Cricetulus griseus: one gene and its partner. The protein of the gene in region 2 binds, or shares a complex with, the protein of the main gene of each other region. Links are inferred from orthologs where the notes say so. Each region holds a gene or a part of one and is shown on either strand. Other genes may lie near its edges.

Region 1 (9,494 bases), on a different chromosome or scaffold from region 2:
TGGCTAAACAGGCCAACTCAAACTTATGTAGCTTTTTCTGGAGAAGCAAGCTGATTGCAGGGAAAATAAAAATTTAGAAAGACAAACAAAGGAGAAGTGAAACAAGAGCAGAAATGGGGAGAAATGAGTTGGATCAAAATATATTATGTACAATTAACATATGCTAATAAAAAGCAAAAAAGTCAAATGTCAAACAATGATCAATAGCAAAAAGACCAAATGCAGTTGAGAAAAAATATTTACAATCTTTGATTATGGTCATGTGGGCAACAGAATCCCCTTTTGAATCACTTCCTAGTCTTAACCCTGAAACAAAAGTTCCAGAAAAAAGGAAACAAGTAAAACACAGCAGGTAGAGTCAAGGAAACAAGAAACAAGTGAGCACAGCAGAGTAAAAGAGGCATCTGCTGTATTAGAGAAATCACACAGTGGGTAAGAGCATTCACTGCTACTCTTTCACAGGGCCCAGGTTTGGCTCCCAGTACCCACATGGTGGCTCACAACTGCCTGAAATTCCAGATCTGTGGACTCTGATACCCGTCTCTGGCCTCCCATGTTTACCTGGCACTCATGTGGTGCAAAGGCAAAACACTCACATATAAAAATAAATTTAATAAATGTTAAAAGCATCTGCCAATCACACCTCATGAAAACCCAAAGCGACAGATGTTTTCCTCCAGAAAGTCACTCTCTAGCTCTCTGATCTTCCTGCTATATTTGATAAGTTAATGTCAAACAACAATTTATTAAGTATGTTGACATGGAAGTAACTCTCCTTTAACTTTAAAAATAAATACACCAAACTCTGCTTTGTGCAACTGTGTGTGTCAACTGCATCTTCAGTATTTTCATGGTCTACACTATAAAATAAGGCTTACCACGATGAATTTCATTTCAAAATATAGTATTAAGAAGTTATATTTGAAGCTGGGTGATGGTGGTGCATGCCTTTAATCCCAGCACTCAGGAGATAGAGGCAGGTAGATCTCTTTGAGATAGAGGCTGGCCTGTTCTAAAGAGTTAGTTCTAGGATGGCCAAGGCAAGAAATCCTATTTTAAAAAACAAACAAAAAAGACAGGGTCTCATGTAGTCAAGGATGGTTTTAAACCCACTATGAACCTAAGGATGACCTTGAACTCCCTGATTGCCTCTACCTCTCATGAGAATATACAATAATAAAACTTTAGGTAGGGCTGGAGAGATGGCTCAGCAGTTAAGAGTACTAGCTGTTCTTCCAGAGGACCTAGGTTCTGAGTCCCAGCACCCACATGGTGGTTCACAACTGCCTGTAATTCCAGTCCTGGGGATCTGATACCCTCTTCTGGTTTCTGTGGGCATTGCATGGTGCACAGACATACAAGCAGGCAAAATACTCTTAACCCTAGGTCGGGTGTGGTGTGGTGGTACACGAACGCCTTTGATGTCATTACTTGGGGAGGGGGCGTGGCAGAGGCAGGCTGATCTCTGTGAGTTTGAGGCCAGCCTGGTCTACAAATCGAGTTCCGGAACAGCCGGGGCTGTTACACAAAAAAACCTTGTTTCAAACAAAACTTCCCCCGAGCAAAAAAAAACCCTTACAACATATATAAGTAAATTTTGTCTTTTAACTCTTAGTACTCACCTACGAACACTGGCAATGGTCTCTCTGTTTTTGAAACGACTGAAGCGGGCTGTATAGTTTAGGGTTTTCATGAAAACCTCTGAAAGTTCCTGCTCATCCTCTGCACTCTCATTCTGCTGTTTTCGATGCTCCAGAAGCATGTGAACTTCGGAGTTTAGGAGAGTCTCGGCTGTTTCAAACTCTGCAAGAAGAGCAAGTGTGAACTAAAAGTACTCTTTTAAAAAGCATGCATCCGCCAGTCAGTAGTGGCTCATACCTTTAGTTCCAGGATTTGGGCAGCAGAGACTAGATGATCTTTGAATTTGAAGCCAGCCTGGCTTATATTAGTGACCTGCAGGAAAGTCAGAAACACATAGAGACTCAAAAACAAACAAACAAACAAACACACACCAAAAAGCAAAACTATAGGGTTGGAGAAATGAGCATATACTACTCTTGCAAAGGAAGTTCAATTCCCAGCACCCACATCAGACACCTTACAGCACCTCTGGCCTCCTCAGGTACCTGTACACTTAATAAAAATAAAAGTAAATCTTAAAACACTAACATAAGAGCTGGAGGGAGGGCTCAGCACTTAAGAGCACTGGCTTCCAGAGGATCAAGGTTCTGTTCCCAGCACTCATGTGGTGGCTTACAATCATCTGTAAGTCCAATTCCAGGTAATCAAATGCCTAGTTATGGCTCCTATGGGCACCAGACATACATGCCGGCAAAACATCCTTATATATAAAATTTTGAAAAGTAAGATTTTTCATCTCAATTAAAAAAAAAAGAGAAAAGATAAAATCACTATTTAGGGCTGGGCAGATGCTTAGGTTGATAAAGTACTTGCCACTCAAGTGTGAGGAGCAGAGTTGAGATCCTCAGAACCCCAAAAATTGGTATAGTGGGGTGCCTGTATCCAGCAGTTGGTAGTGAGACAAGGTATTTATTCCCTGGAGGCAAGCTGACCAGTTAGATCAGCTGTGAGCTCTGGGTTCAGCAAGAGTTTGCCTCAGTAAGTGGAAAATAATCAAGGAGGTTATTTAACATTAACTCCAGGCCTCTAAAAGCACCTGCATAAGAACATGTGCCCACACATATGTACATAACATATACATACACACACAAACAAATAAGTTAATGTTGCTATCTGGGCTGGGAATGTACCTTGGTTGATAGAATGTTTCCTCAGTATGCACAAAGCCATAAATTCCATCCACTGCACCACACAAATTGGGCACATGGCTGTAATACCAGGACTTGGGAGACAGAGACAGGAGAATCTCTGCATGTGTGATGCCAGCCTGGTCTACATAGAAAATTCCAGGTTAGGGCTGGAGAGACGGCTCAGAGGTTAAGAGCACTGACTGCTCTTCCAGAGGTCCTGAGTTCAATTCCCAGCAACCACATGGTGGCTCACAATCATCCACTATGAGATCTGGTGCCCTCTTCTGGTGTGCAGATATACTGGAAGCAGAATGTTGTATACATAATAAATAAATAAAATCTTAAAAAAAAAAAAGAAAAGAAAATTCCAGGCTAGCCAGTGCTACATGAGACTCTATCTCAAAAATTGGGGGTGGGAGGAGCGAGGGCATAGTCCACAGAGAAGGCTTAGTAGTTGAGAAGTCTTGATGTTCTTACAGAGAACCCAAATTCAGTTCCCCACAACCAATTCAAACGGTTCACATAAATCCATACATCCAGCTCCAGGCAATATGATACCTTTGGGCTCCACAGGTACCTGTATACACGTGAGTCTGAGAGTATGTGCACACAAGCACGCACGCACGACACACACACAATTTTTCTGTAGACACTTGGTTACAGATATCAATAATTTTTGTTATCAGGCCGGGTGTTGGTGGCCCACGCCTTTAATTCCAACACTCAGGAGGCAGAGGCAGGTGGATCTCTGAGTTCAAAGCCAGCCTGGTCTACAGAGTGAGTGCCAGGATAGGCTCCAAAGCTACACAGAGAAACCCTGTCTCCAAAAACCAAAAAAAAAAAAAAAAAAAAAAAAAGGATTTGTTATCATAAACAGGGGCTGGGGATGTAGCTCAATTTTTAGAGTGTTTGTTTAGAACGCACAAAAAACTAGGCTTAAGCCCGGTGGTGGTGGCATAAGCCTTTAATCCCAATACTCAGGAGACAGAGGCAGGAGGATCTCTGTAAGTTCCAGCTAGCATGGTCTACAGAGTGAGTTCCTGGACAGGCTCCAAAACTACAAAGAAATCCTGTCTTTAAAATAAAAACAAAACAAAACAAAAACAAAGAACAAAAAAAATCTAGGTTTAATTCCTAGCATCATGGAAGTAGAAGCAGGAGGATGGCAAGTTCAAGGCCATTCTTGCCTACTTCCTAGTTTCAAGCCAGTCTGGGCTACATGAGACCCTGCTCAAAACAAAACTCACAAAGGCACAGCACTCATCTTGGTGTTTTACTCGAATGCCTAGGCTAGCCTTGAACTCTTGGGCTCAAACTATTCACCTACCACAGGCTCCCTGTAGCAGGAGCAAGGTGGCACACAAAAATACATTGAACAGCAGGTACCAGTCATCCCAGACTGGAACCCATCTTGCTTCCAACTGTTCTTCATAACTCAAAAATATAAAAAGAGGGCCCAGAACCCAATGACAACAGCATCTCTGCTCAGGAGCAATGGCACTCTTCTGACCTATAGACCTTGAGATGCTTTTGACTAGCACTATAATGGGGCTATAGCTGAGTTTCTGCCAGCTGTCAATTTAGAATAGAGACCTCTGCTCCGACCTGCAGTGGTGGTGCACGCCTTTAATCCCAGCACTTGGGAGCCAGAGACAGGATCTCTGTGAGTTCGAGGCCTGCCTGTTCTTCAGATCGAGGACAGGCTCCAAAGCTACAGAGAAACCCTGCCTCAAAAAGCAAAACAAAACAAAACTAAGACCTGTGCTCCAGATCTGCCTTTTGCATGCCAGAAAATGGACATAAATACCTCTAAATGTCAAGAGCCCATGCCCTTAATTCCACCACTCAGGAGAATGGGGCAGGAATGTGACAAGTTGGAGGCCAGCCTAGGATACATAGCATGAAACTCTGAAAAAAACAAAACTGCCAGGTGTGAGACGCACGCCTTTGATTCGAACACTCACAAGGCAGAGGCTGGCTGATTTCATTGAGTTCAGGGCCAGCCTGGTCTACAATATGAACTGCAGGCCATCCAGGACTACAAGTGAGACACAGTTTCAAACAATAAACAAACAAACAAACATAGGGGGATCTCTGCGAGTTCGAGGCCAGAAACTCTGTCTCGAAAAAGCAGGAAAAAAAAAAGGTAGCAAGTGGCACTACAAGAGTAGGGTATGTGGATATCCACGATTCCAAAACCCCGGGCGTGGACGTTTCTCCAAGGAATTAAGTAAACCACGCAAGGGTTCATCTGTGCCGTGCTGACCAATCCCCTGTGCGTATCCCTTGGCAATCCTACGACGTGCCAGGGCTAGGGCTAACCAAGGAGCGGATAACGACTGTAACTCAAGGACCATGTCACCTCGGAGTCGAGGTGCCCCGGGTCCCACCTTTAGGAAAGATGAGCTGAGACGCGTCTTCTTCTACGTCGCCAGCCCGGGGATCGCTGCCGCCGGCCGCCATTGCTTCAGGATGTACCGCCACAGAAACCACCGGAAACGGAAGCCGCGAGGGCGGGCTACCCACCAAGGGAGGAACCTATCCGGTTCAGGGGCGGGGCCAGATGGAAAGGGCGGGCCCTAAGGAAGCCGAGTGGGCGGGAGGGGAAGGTTGGAAGGGGGAGGTACTGGGGCCACTCACGAGACTGGCCTCACTGCGCGAGGAGGGCGCTCAGGTCGCATTCCTGGTGGCTCCCGGTCGTTGGAGGGGGTTCTGTACTGCCGTCTTGGAGATGAGCTGTTTATTTTCTCCAAACGCTCTTGCCGTGAGACCTGGAATGGTCAGTAAACCCGTTCAGGAGAAAAGGATTAAGTGAAGTGCAGGAAAGACCAAAGTGACCGACCCAAGGAATGGCCTATGATGGGAAGGAAGCTGGGTAGGTGACTACAGAAACATATTGGAATGTCTTTCAATGATTTGATTATGTAAAAAACAAATTGATTAACCCGATGTGGTGGTCATGTATTAATCTACTGGGCAAGAGGATAAAGAGTTGAAGGAGAGCGGTGTATAGTGGCAGATGCCTTTAATCCCAGCAGTTGCAAGGCAGGAGCAGGAGGATCTTAGAGTTCAACGACAGTGATAGTTTCAGGACAGCCAGAGCTACAGAGTGAGACCATGTCTCAAAAAACCAAAACAAGCAAAAACAACGTTCGAGACTGAGCCTTGGCTATATAGCAAATCCGTGATTCATGCCAATCCAGGCTACATACCATCCTGTTGCAAAATGGGGTGCGAGGGTTAATTGTTTGTACTGTATTTAATAATTCAGAGCAAATGAACTCTAATATTGAGAATCCTTTAGTGTGTCTGTGGGACGTTTGAATCATAAGTGGAAAGTTAAAGGAAAAAGTAATGCTATTTTCAACACAAGAGAAAACAAGTGTTTGTACAATAAGGGGGGAAAAAATCTTCCCCAGCGCTTGGCTCATTAGGAAACAGTACTAAATTCAGCTAACTTAATAAAAAATGAATTGAAGGGGTTGGAGAGATGGCACTGTGATTAAGAACACTGATGTGCTTTTAGAAGACCTGAGTTAATTTCCAGAATCCACATTAGGAGGCTCACAAACACCTGTTGACTCCAGCTACAAGGGATCCAAAGCCCTTTCTATCCTCTTTTGGAGCACACACACCCTGTACATACACACAAAATAAATCTTTTTTGTTGTTCTTTTTCGAGACAGGATGTATCTGTGTTAACAGTCCTTATTGTCCTGGAACTCATTCTGTAGACCAGGCTGGACTTGAACTCACAAAGATCCACCTGCCTCTGCCTCCCGAGTGCTGGTATTCAAGGTGTGCACCACCACCACTCGGCTCAAAATAAATCTTTAAAAATGGATTGAAAGCCGGGTGGTGGTGCCTTTAGTCCCAGCACTCGGGGGACAGAGGCAGGCGGATCTCTGTGAGTTCGAGACCAGCCTGGTCTACAAGAGCTAGTTCCAGAACAGCCTCCAAAGCCACAGAGAAAACCTGTCTCAAACCCCCCCCCCCAAAAAAAAATGGATTGAAAACTGGGCAGATGGCTCTTAACCACTAAGCCATGTCTTCAGCCCCTGTTGTGAAGTTCTCATATACTGTTCAGGAAAGCACTGTGAAATGCTTAAAAAACTCTGTTCTTTACAGAGGTCCTAGGTTCAATTTCCAGCACCCACATGGCAGCTCACAATCATCTATAACTGTAGTCCCAGGGAATCCAATGGCCTCTTCTGGTGTGCAGAGATACATGTAGATAAAACACCCATATAAATAAAATAAACAAATAAATCTTAGAAACAAAACTATAAAACTTCACAACATATATGCTGGGGCTTATCAAAATTCCTGAAAAGATATCCAAGACAATAGTTCATGGTTATACTGCATCTAAATAGTTAGAAATGGGCTGGAGGTTCAGCACATACCCAGGACCCAGGGAAAGACAGACAGACAGACAGACAGACAGACAGACACACACACACACACACACACACACAGAGAGAGAGAGAGAGAGAGAGAGAGAGAGAGAGAGAGAGAGAGAGAGAGAGAGAGAAGTCACCAAGTATATAGAAAAAAAAGCAGAGTAACAAAAATATAAACTTGACATTTCACAGGTTGGTTATTTATTGCATTTTCATTCAAGAAATCATTAAAAGCCATCTGTAAGGCATGAGGTTAAAATGATGAGTTAGGTATAAATCTGTCCTCAAAGTGAGCTCACCAACAGTAAATGATATAACGGAAAGTTAAACAAGGTGCTGCTAAGGAAAGATAGCGTCTAAAGTTGGGGTGTGGTTTAAATGTATCCCCTGAAGGTTTGTGTATTGGAAGCTTGATTCCCCTAAACTTGGAAGTAGAACTGGTGGGACTTTTAAGAGGTGGGGACTGGGACTGGGGAGATGCTCAGTCACTAAAGTGCTTGCCATGAAAGTGTGAGGACCCACATTTCATCTGAAAGAGAGTTTGGGGAACATAGGTGGACAAGGAAAGAAAAAGCAGGCTCTCTTGTTCCCAGAAGACATTAGAATCGACAGCAGGAAAGCATGGAGACAGGTATCTAAACAGGACCACCCATGATGGGAAGGGGAGATTCCAGGGGCCCTATAAAATACTCAAGCAAGAGTCCATTTAGGAATTCTGACCAGGGATTCTCCCATCCCTAAGGAATAAAGCTGTTACTTTCCCTTTCTCCAGGGCTCAGTCTTCTGTCTTTCCTAGGTGTTCAAATTCTTTGTCCATATCAGGGAGTGAGCTTGATGGCTCCCTAGATGACCACCGTGTCCTTGTTATAGAGCCTTAGAACCCACATAAAGTGCTAATAATCCAGGCATTGGGGAAGAAGAAGATAGATACAATCCCTAGGGATCACTAGCCAGTCAGTCTAGCCTAATTGTAAATTAAGGGTTCTGAGAGACCTCCCTCAAAGGAACCAGATGACATTCCGATAAGGTTGTTCTCTGTACTGTACATGGATATGTTTACACTCAGAGAGAGAGAGAGCGAGAGAGAGAGAGAGAGAGAGAGAGAGAGAGAGAGAGAGAGAGAGAGAGAGAGAGATGCTCAGTGGTTAAAGGTACTTGCCACCAAGCCTGAGGAGCTGAGTTTAATTTCTGGTATCCACATGATGGAGAAGATTGATTCCCAAAAGTTGCCCTCTGACCTCCATACATGGTGCCCGAACATGTGTGTGAACACACATAGTATTTTAAAGGTTTCAATGATTTGTTTTAAAAAGAAGTGAGACCTTATAGAATGTCCTTAGATCACTGAGGCATACCTTTAGGAGTGATTAATGTAGTTAGTACCCTTTGCACAACAGACTCTCTGAATTTCATTCACCTTTGCCATGTATTCTCTCCTCTTATATGCATTCTTCATAATGCCATGTATCGTGAGGTCCTCAACAGAGCACCATTCCCTTCAGTTTCCAGAACTGTGGCAGATTTTTTTTTTTCTGTGTCCTAGCAGCTGCTTCCAAATAACCACTCAGAGACTTAATATTAATTACAAGTTCTCAGTCAATAGCTCAAGCTTGCTACTAGCTAACTAACATTTTAAATGAACCCATGTCTATCCCTTCACTTGCTGCTATGTGGCTCATGGCTTATTATCTCATTTCGTACATATCCTGCTTCCTCTGAGTCTGCCTTGAGACTCCTCAGGGTCTGCCATACTTCCTCCCAGCATTCTCTCTGCCCAAAAAATCCTGCCTAGCTATTGGCCAATCAGCTTTTAGTTAACAATAAGAGCAATATGTATTTACAGTATACAGAGATTGTTTCAGAGCATATCTCCCCTTTTCTCTAGTTAAAAAGGAAGGTTTTAATTTTACCATAGTAAAATTATTTGCAAAAAGAAAAAAACAGTTATCAAGTAAGAATTACAGTTACAATATCCAGCCCATTTGTTGAAGGCAGGTTAAAGGCAGTCCACAATTACCCAGTTAAAGAATTAACAGTGGTGGTGGTGGCGCAGCACTTTAGTCCCAGCACTCGGGAGGCAGAGGCAGGCTGATCTCTGTGGGTTCAAGACCAGCCTGGTCTACAAAAGCTAGTTCCAGGACAGTTTCCAAAGCTACACAGAGAAACCCTGTCCGGAAAAAACAAATTAACAGGTATTTATTTGGGGAGCACTCATGGTAAATAACTGACTGATTTTCTTGCTCCTGGAGATGCAGCCTCTGCCCTTCAGGATGCTCTAACCACAACCCAAGAGAGCAAGCTAGCCCCTCCTCTTTCTTAT
Region 2 (8,831 bases):
CCTGGGGGGACAGGGAGGTCAGGGCACAGGACCAAGCGCTCCTGTTTCCAGCCCCGCTGCTGTGGCCTTCCGTGGAGATCCTTCTCTGGGCCCTCAGCAGTCCAACCTCTTTGGCAGTCCAAAGTGGGGAGCTGATCCCCACCCAAGAAGGTGGGCACGGGGCCTAAAGTGGCCAGTGGAGGTGGAGGGCCTGACCGTAATCCAGGCAAGGACCACACCCAGGGGTTATCCCGAGAGTTCAAATCTGTCACTGTAATGACTGAGACAAAAGTCAGGCTGCCCACTAGGACAAGATACAGGGTCCTGGCCGGGTGGCGGCGGCGCACGCCTTTAATCGCAGCACTCGGGAGGCAGAGGCCTCACCCACACACAAGAGCTCCTAGAGTGGAACCTTAAGCTCACAACACCGTCCCCCTGGCACCAGGCCTGCTTGCTGGGGATGTAGTCTGCAGTAACCCCAATGGTGGTCCTCTCTGGTCAAGGGAAACACTGATGAGCCTGCAGGGTCTGTTAGCACCACCATCCTGTCCTGTGACATGTGTCATGGTGGAAACATGGGGAGTGAAGCCCCCACAGGAAGAGCAGAGCTGAGGGTTTGGGTGGTGGGGACTAGGCATACCTGCTCATACCAGGAGGCCACGGTGCTTTCCATGTATTGGTAGCTGGTAAAGAAGGCCACAATGCCGTCGGGGACCACAGCAGACATCTCCAGCAGGAGGTTGCCGTAGTTGCGGATTACAGCTAGGGAGAGGGGATTGGAGATTGGATCCTCTCCTGCTGCTCACTGAGGCTAGTTATCCAGTTCCTTCCTCCCAAGCCACCCAGAGACATGCCACAGCACAAGAAATACATAGAGGTGGCGGTGTCTCTTCTAGATGACACTCAGAAGCCAGTGCCCACTGTTCCAAAGGCCCTCTGCTGGTGCTACGGCTCAGTGGTGCCTGGTGGCACAGCTTCCAAAGTGAAGAGACCCAGGGTGGGCTCAACCCACAGTGGGCCTGTGTCCGCCACAGAGGCTGGTTGTGTGTGTGTGTGTGTGTGTTATGGTACCAAGTCCTTGTCCACCTGTAACCCACCCCAACCAAGCCCACACAGGTGACTCACCAATATCTTCCCTGGTCTCAAATTTGGAGCTGATGGCCACCTGGTCATTACCACGGCCAATGATCTGAAACAGAGTGAAGGTTCTGTGATACACCTGACAAATGTCCCCTTTTTTGACTTAGTGTCTCATGTAGCCCAGGCTGGCCTTTAGACGCGAGCTTCACTGAGGCTACCTACCCTCCCAAACCCATGAGAAGCTGTTTCCCCAACCTCTGAAGTTCCATGAACTCCTGGTCCTCCTGCCCACTTCCCAAGATCACAGGCCTGCATTACCACAGCTAGCTAGCACAGGCACTTCCATGTATTAGGCGAGCACTGTACCAAATAAGGCCCGAGCTCAGGAAAGCGTCATGTAGACATAGACAGTGGCCCTAAGCCTATGGCTGCAACTGCTTGGGCCAATGCCCTGCAACAGGTCCCAGGGCAGGGACCTCTGCTTCTAGGCAAGGCTACACTCCAGCCTTAGGTAGTTTCAGAACACAGGTCACCCAAAACACACACCCCATTAGCCTCCCTCCCCAGTCCACCATGCCAGTGAATGGTCAGAGGGAACATTCCAAAAAGCCCACAGCTCTGAAAACAACCGTCTAACTAACCCCTGCTGCCGAGAGCAGGCCTGCAGACAGGCTGTACACAGCTCGTGCTCCACAAGCATGCAAGCAGGCTACAAACCTTGCGTAAGGTTTAAAGTGTTTCTGATGTGCCAAACAGCATCCCCAGCCACAGCTGGCTTCATGTGGCCCATGGACTGTGGGGTGAATATGTCTAACAGCCGGCCACACTCTAAACTCCAAAACAGAGGCAGGCTCATTATCCAAGTCACAGCTGGATGACAAATGGCACACTCACCCTGACCTATACGGTGATAAAGCACCAGGCCTGCTCCCTGAGCACTATGGTCCAGGTTGCTGGGAAGAGACCCTTCCAGGCACCATTTGGTGGCTTGGTGCTCCCATGGGTCTCACCCACTCACCATTGGGCAGAGGCAGACTCGGGCCAGTGTCATGGTGAAGGTTGCCATGGTGACGGGGTGGAAGTCCAGGATCTTGGGGTAGATGTCCAGTGGGGACAGTGTCTGCAAGAGACAGCAAGGAGGACCTCAGCAGACTGGGGCAGGGACCAGGGCCCCCATGGAACAACAGCACAGAGTCCTCACCCCAGAGGTGATGATGACAGACTGGAAGCGCTCAAACACAGGCTTGATGGCCAAGGAGGCGTCCATACAACTGTGGGATAACACAGTCGTCACCCAGGGCAGAGGCCGGGGGCGAAGCCATCCTGTCCACACAGGCTTGCATCTCACCTGAAGTGCAGGATGGGGTTGGCAATGGTCGGGGTCCTGTCATCAAAGGGCTCGATGATAATGGTGAAGCCTGGGGAGGAGGAGGCCGGTGAGTGTGCACGACAGCCCCCGCCTGCCCCTGCCCCTGCCATGGCTAGCGCAGGACAGGACTGTACAAACGCTCAGGTGTGGAAGCAGGGTGAGCCAGGGCTTCACTGCACGGCCCCGCAGGGAGGCCAGGCCCGCCCTCCCCCAGGCCGGCCTCACTCCCACCTGTCCCCCCCTGCTCCCCACACTGCAGTCGGGGAGACGCTATGGAACCTTAAGTTGGCTGGTGTCTCCACACTCCTGCCATACCCAGAAGTGTGCCCATGAACTCTGCAGGGCCAGCCCTTGCTCCCAGCTACGGTATCAGCGTCATGTCCCAGGGCCCACTTGGTTGGTTGGGTCCTTGTTCCACAGGCACCCTGGGAGCCAGGACTCCTGCTCCTCACAGCACAGCCACACTTTCTAGTGTCCCCTTCTGGAGTGATCTTTGCTCCTAGCCCCCAGGCTGTGGCTCCCAGATGAGGGTAGGGATATGGACAGGAGGATGAGGGGGGCAACTAAGGCTGTGCTGGGCCCAGCCTGGCTGTGTGTGTTAGACTCCGGGCCCAGCCTGGCTGTGTTAGATCCCGCTGTCTCCACGGGGCCCAGCCTGGCCCATCTGTTGACTGAACAAATGATTACATTCACAGATTCTGTTTCACTTGGCAAGGAAAGACCAGGTCTTGTGTCCAGCATCATGCTGAGGACCCAGCAGAAACCAACAGAATCTCGGTCCTACCCAAAAGGGCTCTCCTTGCACGGGGGAGACAGCTAGCCAGAGACCCAGCTGGGACAGAGGGAGGGGCAGGCCCAGGATGGAATGGAGTGGGGGTGACTTTCTGAGAGGTAAAGGACTTGACTCGGGCAGGTGATGGGGCACAGGGAAGGAGGCTTTCTGTAAGACTGTGATGGATGCATCAGTAGGTGGGGGCCGGAGGGAGAACAATGAAGGCCAGGAGAAGAGGCTGGGTGAGGGCAGAAGGAAGCAGACAGCTGCCAGCAGCCCCTTCTTCCAAGGCTGGGCCAGCTGCAGGACGCCAGCTGACCTGGTTTCCTGGCTACGGTACTAATCCCCAGGGATAAGCTTAAAAACTCAGTGCAAAGCTGGGGCGGGCGGGGGCAACAAAAGCTGTAGCTTGTCCCCTCTCCCTGTGCATCACCTGCATCCCTCTCCCTCAAGGGCTTTTACATCTGGCCGCTTTCTCCCATAGCTCTCCCCAAGGCTCCCTTTTCCTGTCCCCACAGTCTATGGCTCCCCCTCTCTGTTGGATGAACCTTGAAAACAACAACCTCACCAAGTACATCCCTTGCCCAGACCCTGCCATGGCTCCCGGTGCCCTCAGGCACACATGAGGACTTCTCCCCCAGCCAAAGGTGGGCTGACCGCACAGCATCCCTCTGCTCAGTATCACAGCTCACTCGAGTTCTCCCCCTGCAGCCAGGAGGAGCCTCTAGACACACGAATCTGAACACGAGGCTCGCTCACTCGCTTGTTCCCCAGGGCCCTCATAGTAGCTCAAATCCCCTGTCTCACATGCCCAGACTTCCTGCTAATACCCCACCCGACTTAGCTAGGCCCCCAAGTCCGCTGCCAGGAGGAGCAAGAGGGGAGCTTACCCTTGGCGTAAGTGCTGACGAGAGTGGCGAAGTTAGCAAGGAGTGTGAGCGGGGAGAAGTCAGCCAGGTCAGCAATCTCCAAGGTGTGCAGGAGGGAGCGCAGGCGCTCAGCACAGAACCTGAGAAGCCATGGGGTCGGGAGAGGGAGGGAAGCAGCAATGGCTGGGACTCTCGCCACCTGTTTACCTGGGCATCGTCTGTGGCCAAGCTGTCCCCACACTGCAAACATCCACAGCTACCGCACAGCACTAGCACACGCACACGGCGCCCAGGTTTGCCGCTTGTATGCAAATTCTTGTCAAACAAGACCCATGGCCATCAGTCACTGTGCTGTGCAGCCAGTGTCGTGGGCCCCACGCTCAGAAAGAACAGCCACACACTTTCCCAGGCTCGCATATGCACACGCATAGGGCTGCAGAAGTACCAGGTAGTCCTGCAGCGGTCACAGCCAAGAGCTGACCTCACAGTGACACGGCTCGCTCCACATCCGACTCTGACCTGACCCCTGACCCCGTCACCAGCCACAGGTCTGGACCTGAGGTCCCCATGGCAGCATGCGCACCTGAGGGGCTTGCGTTGGATGCACACGCGCTGAGCCAGGCCGCTCAGGAAGGCAGGAGGGCTCTCCTGTACCACATGCTGCACGCGCAGCCGCCACTTGACGTACTCCAGCAGCCGCCGCAGGAAGCCCAGGAAGTGCTCGGCAGTGCGGATGGAGCCTGGCACGGCCTCTGCAGGGAGACTGAGTCAGCTGGCACGGGAAGGAAGGCGTGTGAGGGTGGGGGGTGGGGCACGGCTCACCCTGCAGCACCTCGTCCGGCAGCACAGGGTTCGCCAGGTGCGCGTCTGTCTCCCGCGCCGCGCTGGCCTCCCGCAGCCCCTCCACCAGGCGCCGGTACTCGTCCCGCAGCCGCTGCTCGTCTGTCTCCTTGATCCTGGCGGGGACATGGGACAGAGCTGGAATGGGGCAGGTGTCCAGGGCCACGGAGGCAGGCGGCACACAGGGAGCAGAGTGGGCACCTGAGCACCGTCTTCTGCAAGGTGTCCAAGTTGCTCTGGCAGCGGTCCAGAGTCCTGCGGGTGAGGTTTACACTCATGGAGTCGATGCAGACATTGTCTAGGAGGAAAGCAGACAGACATGGGCTCAGCCGGCTTGGGGGCGGGGCAGAGAGGCCGCCGCTGTCTGCACACCCTGGCACCCTCCTCACCAATGTTGTGGGCTTCATCGAAGACCACGACGGCCTTGCGGGCCAGCTCTTTGGACACCAGGTCTGCGATCTTGGGGTCCAGGAGATAGTGGTAGCTGTAAACCACCACGTTGGCATGCAGGATCTAGGAACATGGAGGGATAAGTTTTTGCCTTGGGCCCTGCTGCCCCCGCCATACCACTCCTTCCCAGGTGTACAGACGTAACACCAAGACAGACAGCAGGTGGATGGAAAAGACAGATGGGACCACCCAGGCAAGGCATAAACAGAGGCTGGAGACAGGAAGACCTAGGTACCAGGTCAACAAAGATGCAAGCAGACAGATGGGCTAACGGAGGGGTGGGCAAAAGTGGCTCATGCCTATAACCCCCATAGCTGGGAACCTGCGTAAGGTTCTTCTAAGTTTGAGGCCAGCCTGGGTTATAAGTGAGACCCTGCCCCAGAAGAAAACAAAACAACTCTTCACCGAGTATCGAGCCAGGAAGTAGGGGCACCAGCCCTGCCGCTGCCCCAGGGCCTTCAGGTCATCCAGGTTGTAGATGCCTGCCGGGAGGGGCACCTGGCGTCCGTGGGCATCAAACTCCTGGGGAGGCAGAAGATGGCAGTGTCAGGGAGAGCTGCTGTCCAGAGTGTCTCTGCCCTCCCCGGCCCGGGCCAGAAGATGGCAGGGTCAGGGAGAGCTGCTGTCCTGAGGGTGTCTGCCCTCCCCGGCCCGGGCCAGAAGATGGAAGGGTCAGGGAGAGCTGCTGTCCTGAGGGTGTCTGCCCTCCCCGGCCCGGGCCCTTCCCTGCACCTCATAGAAGCGGCAGTGAGGCAGGCTGGCATCCTGCTGGTACTGGGCCCGCACATATGAGGCTGTGAGGCTGTGACACTTGCCGTCCACGTCCTTCCCAAAGCGCAGTGGTGTCACCTGGGGGTTCAGGGGACAAGTTACAACAGAGACAGGAGGTAGTGCGTGCCAGCTACGCCAACCTGGGTTTCCCAACTCGGGACATCACAAGTAGCAGGTCAGCTGGGGTTTCTGGGCAGCCAGAACCTTCACCTGAGCCACTATTAGTTAAAAGGACTTGCTGCAGGGATGTCAGAGTGGGACATCAGAACCGTCCCCAGAGCTGGGCACGGCAGCACAGACCTGAATCCCAGTTACCAAGACAGCTGGAGCAGGAGGAATGCACCAACTCAGGCCAGCCCGGGCAAACACCAAGGCCCTACCTCACAATAAAACGTGTGCAGGGAGATACGCAGGCAGAACACTGTTTACATAACACATAAATTAATCTTAAAAAAACAACATAGAAGTGTTTATAAGTGTTTAAAAAATAAAAATCTAAGTTTCTCCCTCTCTCTCTCTCTTTTATTTTTTGTTGTTTTTTGGAGACAGGGTTTCTCTGTGTAGTTTCAGAGCCTATTGGCATTCGATCTGTAGACCACACTCGCCTCGAACTCACAGAGATCGCCTGCCTCTGCCTCCTGAGTGCTGGGATTAAACGCCCGGCTCTAAGTTTCTCTTTTAAAAAACAAGCTAGACAAGGCTAGAGAAATGGCTCAGAGGTTAAGAGCACTGGCTGCTGTTCCAGAGGTCTTGAGTTCAGTTCTTACCAACCACAACCATCTATAATGGGATCTGATGGCCTCTTCTGGAATAAGGGTGTACATGCAAATAGAGAACTCACATTAGATAAATAAATCTTAAAAAAAAAAAAAATTCAAGCCGACAGTTAGTGTCACATGTTTTTGAACCCAGCACTCAGGAGGATCTGTTAGTTTAAGGCCAGCCTGGTCTACAGAGTGAGTTCCAGGACAGCTAGGGCTACACAGAGAAACCCTGTCTTCACTGAGTAGCCCTTGGCTCAACTGTGTTTTGGGGTTCTGGAATACCTACATACATATAATAGATATCGTCAGATAGGACAGGAGGCTGCCATGAAATTCACTTATGTTTCATGTATATAAAAATCCTAACACTTCAAATGTGCTCTACCGTTTAGACTTTGACTTATCCCATGAGGTCAAATGAGAAATTCTGAGGCGTCACCCTGGCACTCCAGCAGTTTCTGTTCTAGGAGCAGGAGCTAACCTGCGCTCTGACTGATGACCCAAGATCTAACTGAAAAGGGAGTTACACTGGTGGTCACCTCACATGGCCACGGGCTGTCTCTGGGGCTTGCACTGGGTAGCCCAAGGCTGAGGGCGAGGCCCGGGTCTCACCTCGGGATGAATGCACAGGTTCTTTCTTGAGCTCAGAGCTAGTCCCAAGAACGGCAGCTTCTCGCCCTCCTGCTGCTCATAGAAGCTGAGCAGCTTGCGAAGCTCTTCTATGACCTGCTTAGACGATGGGAGCATTGCGTGGGGACCTCAGGACCAGCATAAGCCCCTGCCCACCAGGCCAGTGAGGGCAGCAACTGGGGACCACTGAGGCCGAGGGGAGGGGACAGACCACTGGGTCCATCCTCACTGCCCACCTTCTCAATCTCTGGCACAGTCCGAGAGCAGTAGATAAGTTTGGTCACCTCCAGCGGAAAAGCCTGTGGGTGACAATCAGCTCAGCCCCATCCAGCCCCTCCCCGCCCCCCAGTCCAGACACCCATGATGGTCACTCACCCTCTGGTAGGCCACTATCAGGGCCAGCAGGGACACTGTCTTCCCGGTGCCTGAGGGCATCTCCAGGACTCCATGACCCTGAAAGTTGGGCACAGAAGAGACAAGACACGGGCTCTCAGAACCTCGGGGTCATAAACTCTGGGGACCCTAGAGGACACCATTACCTAGGAACATGACACACACAACGGTGAACTGCCATCAAGGCCCAGGGAACAAGGGGCTTCATCTCTGCTTCTTTTTTGCTGGAGTTTTTATTTTTCATCCTTAATTTTCATCCCAAGGATCGTGCTCTGTAGCCTTGGCTAGTCTAGTACTTGCTATGCACCTCTGGCTGGCTTTGTACACTTGGTGATGCTCCTGCCTCTACCTCCTGAGTACTGGGGTTGCAGGCTGAGCCCTATTTCGTTGACCTCTCTGGATCACACCTGGGTCACAGCATCCTTGCTTGACTCCTTGGCTCCACAGCCCTTACTTGGAACAAGATTGTGAGGACTGCCAGGCGTTGGTGGCGCACGCCTTTAATCCCAGCACTCAGCAGGCAGAGGCAGGAGGCTCTTTGTGAGCTTGAGGCCAGCCTGGTCTACAGAGTGAGTTCCAGGACAGCCAGGGCTGTTACACAGAGAAACCCTGTCTTGAAAAACCAAAAAAGAAAGAAAGAAAGAAAAAAAAAAGATTAAGAGTATCAATAGACTTGTGGGCCAGTGAGATGACTCAGCAGGTAAAGGTACCTGGGGCCCAGCTGATCACTGAGTTCAATCCCCGGCACCTACACCGAAGGAAGAACCAAACTGCCTCCCAGAAGTTGTCCACTGACCTCCTCATGCACACCAGAGCATGGACACCCACACTCTAAATAAATAAATACAATTTTTAAAAATTGTTTTAAAGAAAGTTTGTGTTCAGGGCTGTTGAGTCAGCTCAGCACGTAAAGG

Evidence for each region.
Region 1: Ercc2 (region 2) and Polr2d share a complex: the UniProt entries of both Homo sapiens proteins name them as parts of the TBP-based Pol II pre-initiation complex. The link is inferred for Cricetulus griseus from reciprocal best matches to the Homo sapiens genes ERCC2 and POLR2D.

What each region holds. Positions count from the first base shown.
Region 1 is NC_048595.1:205,579,977-205,589,470, forward strand, and holds the start of Polr2d (DNA-directed RNA polymerase II subunit RPB4), read right to left. Parts: upstream 5,292-9,494; 5' UTR 5,235-5,291; coding exon 5,162-5,234; intron 1,804-5,161; coding exon 1,623-1,803; intron 51-1,622; coding exon 1-50. UniProt on the Homo sapiens protein: Core component of RNA polymerase II (Pol II), a DNA-dependent RNA polymerase which synthesizes mRNA precursors and many functional non-coding RNAs using the four ribonucleoside triphosphates as substrates.
Region 2 is NC_048602.1:27,964,875-27,973,705, forward strand, and holds part of Ercc2 (general transcription and DNA repair factor IIH helicase subunit XPD), read right to left. Parts: intron 7,978-8,831; coding exon 7,900-7,977; intron 7,824-7,899; coding exon 7,761-7,823; intron 7,621-7,760; coding exon 7,507-7,620; intron 6,209-7,506; coding exon 6,092-6,208; intron 5,882-6,091; coding exon 5,765-5,881; intron 5,423-5,764; coding exon 5,299-5,422; intron 5,208-5,298; coding exon 5,111-5,207; intron 5,026-5,110; coding exon 4,892-5,025; intron 4,822-4,891; coding exon 4,653-4,821; intron 4,210-4,652; coding exon 4,091-4,209; intron 2,478-4,090; coding exon 2,408-2,477; intron 2,331-2,407; coding exon 2,261-2,330; intron 2,180-2,260; coding exon 2,078-2,179; intron 1,169-2,077; coding exon 1,105-1,168; intron 742-1,104; coding exon 620-741; intron 2-619; coding exon 1-1. UniProt on the Homo sapiens protein: ATP-dependent 5'-3' DNA helicase. Component of the general transcription and DNA repair factor IIH (TFIIH) core complex, not absolutely essential for minimal transcription in vitro.